Linked DNA regions of Arabidopsis thaliana. The protein of the gene in region 1 interacts with the protein of each later gene in a pairwise test. Each region holds a gene or a part of one and is shown on either strand. Other genes may lie near its edges.

Region 1 (3,936 bases):
ATCAAGTTTAACTTTCAACAAAAATAAGATTTACTTACGATCTACAAGACATCAAATTCACCACAATGAATAAAAACACAATGAATAAAAACACTAGTTGACATTGATAAAGAGTTGCTGGAAAATTTAATCCTTGGGTCATACACGAACCTTATTACATTTTTGGTTTAATTGAAACATTTAAGACAAACATATAATCTTTTTACGATCTACAACACAACAGAATTCACAGTAGTAAAAGTACCGAAAGACAACCTTGTATGTTCGTCAACGAGAATCAGAGAAGAATAACTTGACATGAGCTAGAGCGTCTTGGATAATACGTAAAATTTTACCTAAAATATTAAATGTATTATAGTTATAAAATAATCATAAGTCTGTTTAACCGTAACTGTTGTAACCGTAACCGTATTCAATTGTAAATATTAACCAAAGTCAAAAATAGTATAAATCAGAATGTTTTGTACGTCTTCTATTTTTGATTAAGATATCATATTCTTACTTCCAAGGAAAAATAAAAAATTAAACAGAATTAACTTGATTTCTAAATTGTTTTCTATTGTGTGGTTCAAGTCAAGTCCGGTCTAGTCTGCTTAATATGTCAATCAGAGTAACACTTACCAATCCGATGATATTAACAAACACAAAAAAAAAAAAAAAAGCAAAGACAAATTACAAATAAAGTTCGTTTGTTAACTAATTAGACATTAGTTTAGTCAAATCACAATCACATGTATACTTCCATACCTAGAAACTTAGAAGACTGACACAAAGGACAAGAGCTAAGCTTCCTCTCACACTCCTTACACAAACACATATGATTACATGGCAACAACAACATACACATTTCTCTCACTCCACAAAACCTGCACATCATCATCGTCTTCGTGTTATTGTTGCTGTTGTCTCTCCCATTGAAGCAAGAAGCTGTGTCATCTACTTCACTGTCTCCACATCCTTCAATGCTATCTCTTGGCCGACCTTGAGCTCGGTCAAGATTGTAGTTGAGTGCAGCAATCATATTCTCGTTGTACTTTGCACGTTGCTGCCATGCCTCAGCTTCCATTGTCAGCTGTTCCATTCGCACCTCGAGTTCCTTGTTCTTTCGGTTTATCCTCTCTAGCTCCTCATCTTTCTCACGGAGTTTCTGAACAACTTTTTCCTCCATTAGTGACACCGTTTTCTGTTGACCCCTCTTGATCTTGTCGAGGATAGCATGCCGTAACTGATCCCCCTATCGAAGATACACAAAATCAAGAAAACGAAAACCAAAGTTTCCTCATACATTCAAGAACCAACATACTAGGTTGATCAAAGAAAGATCAGGTTCTTTACCTGAATCTTGAGAAACCTATCGATATCTGCATCTTGCCGCTGTAACTCGCGATCAATATCGTCTCCAACAAGCGACAACAACGCAGAGCCATCAGAAGAAGCGACACGAGCATTGTCAAGAGACAGACCCAATCCGGTTGATACAGACCGAGCTTGCAAAAAATCAATAGAAGATATCTGAGAATTGTTTTCCAAGAAATCTTGTTCCTTTATCCTCTCACGTCTTGGTTCAAGACCAAGACCATAGTTCCACTCAAAGTCAGCTCCATTACCACCATCAGAACCATCAATTTGAACCACCGGTCCCGGTGCAAAACCAGCAACATGAACTGATATAGTTCAAAAGTAAAACAAACACAAAAACAAAACCTTTAAATTCGCAATACAGATTCACCAATCAAATTTCAAAACCCTAATTGGCTAATTCCAATCGGATAAAACTTACATGGAGGAATATATGGAGGATGCTGAGATTGATCATGGAGATTCTCTGAGCGGTTAAATCCTAATTCCGGCGAAATCTGGCCGTCGATTCCGCAAAAGTCTCTGGAAACAGAGCAAGTTCGAGAAATTAGGGTTTTGATTCTTGGAAACTTAAAGAAAAATTAGGGCTTTCCTATCACAGAAAGATTACATGATAACAATAGAAGAGATTGTTTACCTGAAATTCTTGGAGTCTTGAAGGTGTGGATGAAGAGCCATTGATGAACTTCGAGAGAGAGAGAGAGAAGGACACGGAGAAGGAGACGGAGTTGGCTTCTGAAATTGGAAACTCTTTAAGATTTGTATTTTACGATCAGGTCCCTTATCTTTTTCTATATCTTTGTTTTTGACCGTATAGTTTGGTTAGTTTTATTATTTGTCCTATATTTATAAAATCAGAACTTTAGCCCAAATGGATTTGAATTGAATGATTCAAAACTATTGGGCCCTTTTACGAATGTAAGTTACACAATCATCTTAAAAGTTTATTTTTTTGTTAACGTTTTAAATAGAGATTACTCTCTCAATATTTTTTGATATTTCAACTAAGCGGATTATTTCATATAATATAATATTATTTTAGCACAAAAAAAGTTTTCATCCAAAGCCAAAATTGTAAAAGAGTTATGCCAATCCGACAAAAAAAAGAGTTATGCCAATTATTTAAGACTAATATAAATTAGACTTACGATATGGTAAAATTTAAAAGTTTTTGAAGGCGCGTAATGGGATTCACAAAAGCATATAATTTTGGGATTATAAAATGTGTGAGAATAGAAACGATCGGGGATGTTTGGTTATAATTTAGAATCTGTTATTATATGTTTGTTCTAGTTTTGTTGCTTTTGATGTTGAAAATATTTTCAGTATCCATCGACACTGAGTTTAGATGTATTGGGGTATCCACTTTTACAGAAGCTTTCATTTTTGTGCTTATCCTAATCCTTGGTTTAGTTTATGCATGGTGAAAAGGAACATTACAATGGTTTTAGTTTGTTTCTTAAATACTTGTACAATAATAGAAGTAGAAAACAATTATGAATTCCATTAATTTTCCCGTAGTTGATCGAATAACAAAAAATTCCGTTATTGATCTTTCAAATTGGCAAGATTTTCCAGCCTATGTCCACTTATGTATGGTACCAGTTGTTGTTTTATTAAAACTACCTCATTAATAGGCTTCTGAATTGACTTTGATCGTTATGGATTAGTACCAAAATATCGAGTCATAGACAAGCAGACCTTATTTTAACAGTACAATAACGATGAAAATGGCTTCTTCTTTAGTGCGGTTATGTGAACACATGCCTAAACCTCAATATCTTGTAGTTTTTCTTTTTTTGTTTATAGGCAACCCAAAATGTCGTACTGTTCAAACTATGAGCTTACAAAACCCACTTTCATAATGTTTTTGTATCATGTGTACAAAGCTTTCATAGTTAGTAGTTAAGCAAGAAAAACTGCTACCGAAATCATCGGTAGAAGTTTCGTAACTAATCTGCTAATGTTTTGGGTTAGACAATTGATTTGATATATTTCCAATTACATTTAGTAAATTGATTTTTGAATGATTTAAAAGTGAAAGTAAAACAAAAAAAATTGGTGTATTTGTGGATGGTAGAACAATATATATATATATATATATATATATATATATATGGGTCTGCATAAAGATTTACAAGATTTAAGAAATTTTTATAAATTTGAAAAACCAGAACCCAAAAAACCCGATCCGTATACCCAAACGCCCATGCCTAGGTTGATTAATACTATCTGATTTTTATAACATGGTAAAACAATAAATTATGACTCTTTACGAGTTCGCTCGCTCAATGGTAGGTTCTCGCAAATATATCTTACCAAGAAAGTTGTCCACCGGATGCATGGGTTATATTGAGTACTAATTTTGAATATAGAATTAACACTATATTAAATTATATATGAAGTGTAAACACAATTGCTAATATATTTCTTGAAAAGACTTTAGAAAACACGTTTGAGTCTCTTGTTCTTGAACTCTCAACCCCTGAACTACTAGTTGTTGTTCTAGCATTTTCATAACTGGTGTAGTCATTATCTTCAACAGTGCCTACAATTCAACATGTAAATTAGTTGTAA
Region 2 (3,936 bases), on another chromosome or scaffold:
AGTGGCGGTTAGAACGTTACAAAAACTATGATAACAACTATATAACTAAAACAGTAAAATAGATAGTTGCCCTAATTCTACGTTGCGTTGTCACTTTTGTCATGTCATCCACTTGGGAAAAGAAATAACATTTATATCGAGCAAGAACTTCAGTAGTGACAAATTCAGCATACGAGGAAAATAGCATATTGACATGACATGAGACTTAAGAGATAGATGATTTCTTCGTGATATTACCTAAGATGTGGAGGATATGAGGAAAGAGTTAAGCAGACATTATTTAAATGTCATCTTTCACTATAAACGTGGGTCTTATCTCTAATCTCATCGGCTTTTTAATTAGTTATCTTTGGAAAAAAATCAGGTTTTTGAAATTTTGTAAGCGGACAAAGAAGTTCATTTGTGATATCTCACATGGACTTTCGTGAGCCATCAGATATTTCAAGTCATACTATATCTGATTTCAAGGCTTGGAAGGAAGCTCAATTAACTTGCCGATGTAATAGTTCAACTGGTAAGGTCCATAACACATGAAAATTTTCAAGTGGATGGATCTTGGAAGGATTGCCAACCCTAGTTTTGTCTCTCTTTATTTAGAGTTTTTAAACCATGTTTTTTGAGGGGATCGAGAGACTAGATTTTGAGACTGATTGCGCGGAGTTGATCAAGATGATGCATTGTCTTGTTGATTGACCCGTCTTCTCTAGCTTTCTAGATGAGTTCGGACTACTTGAAATCCTTTTATTGTTTCTCGTTTTTTTCAGAAATAATTATTGTAATTGAAATTATAGAATGTATTGCATATTTTGTTGAGTACGTACTTTTCTATTGATTAATTATAAGACTTTGAACTACAAATCTCTTGATAGAAATCACACTTTGGCAGTGGAAAACATGGAATTATAAACATGGTGGTAGAGAGGAAGCATTGATTATAATATTTCACTTCCATATTGTATATTTCTTGGTTTTCTGGTTCACTATCGAGTCGTTTTTACTGTCTTCTTTGGTGGGCAACATGGAATCTTTAAAAGAAAGAGCATAATCTAAAGAGATTAGCAATCACTTTCATAAAGTATAAGCTAAAGAGATTAGCAATTTACTATTGTTTCCAATCAAACATTAAACTTTTAACAACACTCCCAGAGTGATTGTCCATATAAGATTTCACTACAGAAAATGGATGACGTCGATTTACCAGCTTCACTTCGTAAACCAACGTAAAATTTTTAATATATGAAGGTCCATTAAAATAAATGTCCACTACATAAATCAGAGTCTAAACTGTTTATTTGATTTATTAGCTTATGCTTAAGAACTTTTACGAGCTTCTTTGTAATTGACTTTAAAGCGAGACAATATTAACGTCATACAATAATACGACGGTCTCCAAACTGACGGTAGAAGTTTTAAGTCAGCTTATATATAACTGACGTTACACTTAATATTAACCGACGTAATTTGCCGTGTTCTCTTTGTAATGTTGCGAGAAAGACATCTATAAAAATTAGATCATAAAATTTGAGTCTAGAATAACATGCTAAACAATCTCCTGTACTATCTTTTTAAATCGAGTAGTCGCTGGTGACGTCCACAAGAAAAATTGCGGTCATTTTGCCAAATCATGAGAAGTCCCTTTAACTTTGCGAAAGTATGCAATAAAAACTCAAATAAGTATGTTTCCTAAAAAAAAAAAAAAATTGTATGGTATGAGAAATTTAAACTATTTTGATATTGACGTTCGTCGTTATGTCGTAAAATCAAATCAATATCTTTACAAAAGCATTGTGAATTAATGAAGAAATTAACCTAATTGTTTATCAAAGAAAAAGAAACAGCAATACACGAAAGTATTTGAAGTTCATACACAAATTAAATTTTGAAAACTAATTTATTAGCTTAAAGCCTTGAAGTACTCAGCATATATTATTTTATTTGTTTTCTTGTAGCTAGGTTACTGAGCCTGGTTCGCGTCTTCGCGAGGAGTTGTATAAGTTTTACCGAATTAAAATAGGTACTGCAGGTATATAACAGATGTTAACAAATAATATTATATATATCATATCATATCACTTTCGGTGAAGTCGCTCTGTCTCGGCTACTATATATAGAACAATCAGGAAGACGGAAAAAATAACATTACACTTGAAAAAAATCCACAAATATAAATGAAAAGAGAGAATCTTTTGTTCTTGAAGAAAAAGAGAGAAGAAGATGAAGACATGGGGAAGCATGAGATCAATATTCATGCATGCCGACGGTGTAGATTGGATGTTGATGGGATTAGGGTTAATCGGAGCCGTCGGTGATGGCTTCATCACTCCTATTCTTTTTTTCATCACAGCCATGCTATTGAACGACTTCGGTAGTTTCTCTTTCAACGATGAAACCTTCATGCAACCCATTTCCAAGGTCCTTTCTCTCTATCTCTCTTCTTTTCTCTTTGTTTTGGTTTATATTCTCTCTAAGTAGGATCATAATACTAATTTAAGTATATAAGATTATATACAATAATACAATATATATATATATATATTTAAATTATAGTATTTTAAAAATTAAATATTACATGAATTGTTTTATATAATTTTATATTCTTTGAGTTGTAAAGAGTAAAGCAAATTAAGCAATGCTATTTTTTCATTTAATGTTATTTAAATTGATTTTGTAGGTTAAGGGGATAAACAAAAAGTTTTGTTTCATTAAAATTTAAATTCAAAGAATTTAGTTTAATTTCCATAGGATATTATATTCTATAACTAAAAAAGTTGGTAAGCAAGAGTTCGAGACTGAAAGTGAGAGCCATGCTAATCTCTAAAATGATGACTAAAATACATATATTTTTGCTATTTAATACGTTCATAGCCAATTTAAATAAAAATATTTCTCACATTCCCATAAATTAGTTACTACCAAACATTCAAAGAAGAAGCAGATAGACTGGATTATGAAGGGCGGGTCAAAAAGGCAATTGAACATTGGCTTACTGGGTGTAGTTAGATTATTTTAGCCAAATAAACTAGCAATAATCCAACAATTATGATAGAATTAACTAAATTACAATATTTAAATGAGTAGACTTTTTTTTTTCCAATGAGTAGACTGTAGACATAACAAGTGGTTTCTCATGTAATGATGACAGAGAGTTGTACAAATTCCAGCCAAGAAATTTACCTTAAAATGGAAAATCAAAACTAGACATGACCAAGTAGACCAAGCATGGTGGGATTCTTAATTAAAACGATCGGCTTATGACTTTTTCAAAAAATAAAAAACTATCGTCTTACATATATGTCCATATGTGTATGTTAAATAGGGATAGCAATAAGAGAAATGTGAAAACCCAAATATTTTATTACATAATCTTAAACTTCTTACTATAACTCAACGTGTAGTAAGATTACGATTACTATATTGCCCCACATATCAATTACATTACTTAAATATATAGGAAAGAGTACTAATATAGTATCTTCCTTCTTTTTTTCACGTTGTAACTAACAGAATGCTCTAGCCATGCTTTATGTGGCTTGTGCATCTTGGGTGATATGTTTCCTTGGTAAGTGTGTTTCTTTCAATTTTTTTTTTATCAAATTAAAATATTAATTTGGTGCACCTCAATATAACAAATTTTGTTTAATTTTGTGGATGGGTTTAATATTTAAAACAGAAGGATATTGTTGGACAAGAACAGGGGAGAGACAAGCAGCAAAAATGAGAGAAAGGTACTTAAGAGCAGTGTTAAGACAAGATGTGGGTTACTTTGATCTTCATGTCACAAGCACTTCTGATATTATTACCAGTGTCTCTAGTGACAGCCTTGTCATTCAAGACTTCCTCAGTGAAAAGGTTTTCAATTTTTATTTATCATATTTCTTGTTCTTAAACAATTTTTTTGATGATTTTGAATTCAAACAGTTACCAAACATTTTGATG

What was found.
Region 2: the proteins of SBP1 (region 1) and ABCB16 interact in a protein complementation assay, tested with the Arabidopsis thaliana proteins (one large-scale study listed by BioGRID).

The regions. Positions count from the first base shown.
Region 1 is NC_003070.9:17,197,472-17,201,407, reverse strand, and holds SBP1 (S-ribonuclease binding protein 1), read right to left. Parts: upstream 2,095-3,936; 5' UTR 2,038-2,094; coding exon 1,997-2,037; intron 1,882-1,996; coding exon 1,781-1,881; intron 1,665-1,780; coding exon 1,336-1,664; intron 1,235-1,335; coding exon 728-1,234; 3' UTR 567-727; downstream 1-566.
Region 2 is NC_003074.8:10,614,580-10,618,515, reverse strand, and holds the start of ABCB16 (P-glycoprotein 16), read left to right. Parts: upstream 1-2,154; 5' UTR 2,155-2,214; coding exon 2,215-2,412; intron 2,413-3,504; coding exon 3,505-3,559; intron 3,560-3,670; coding exon 3,671-3,849; intron 3,850-3,918; coding exon 3,919-3,936.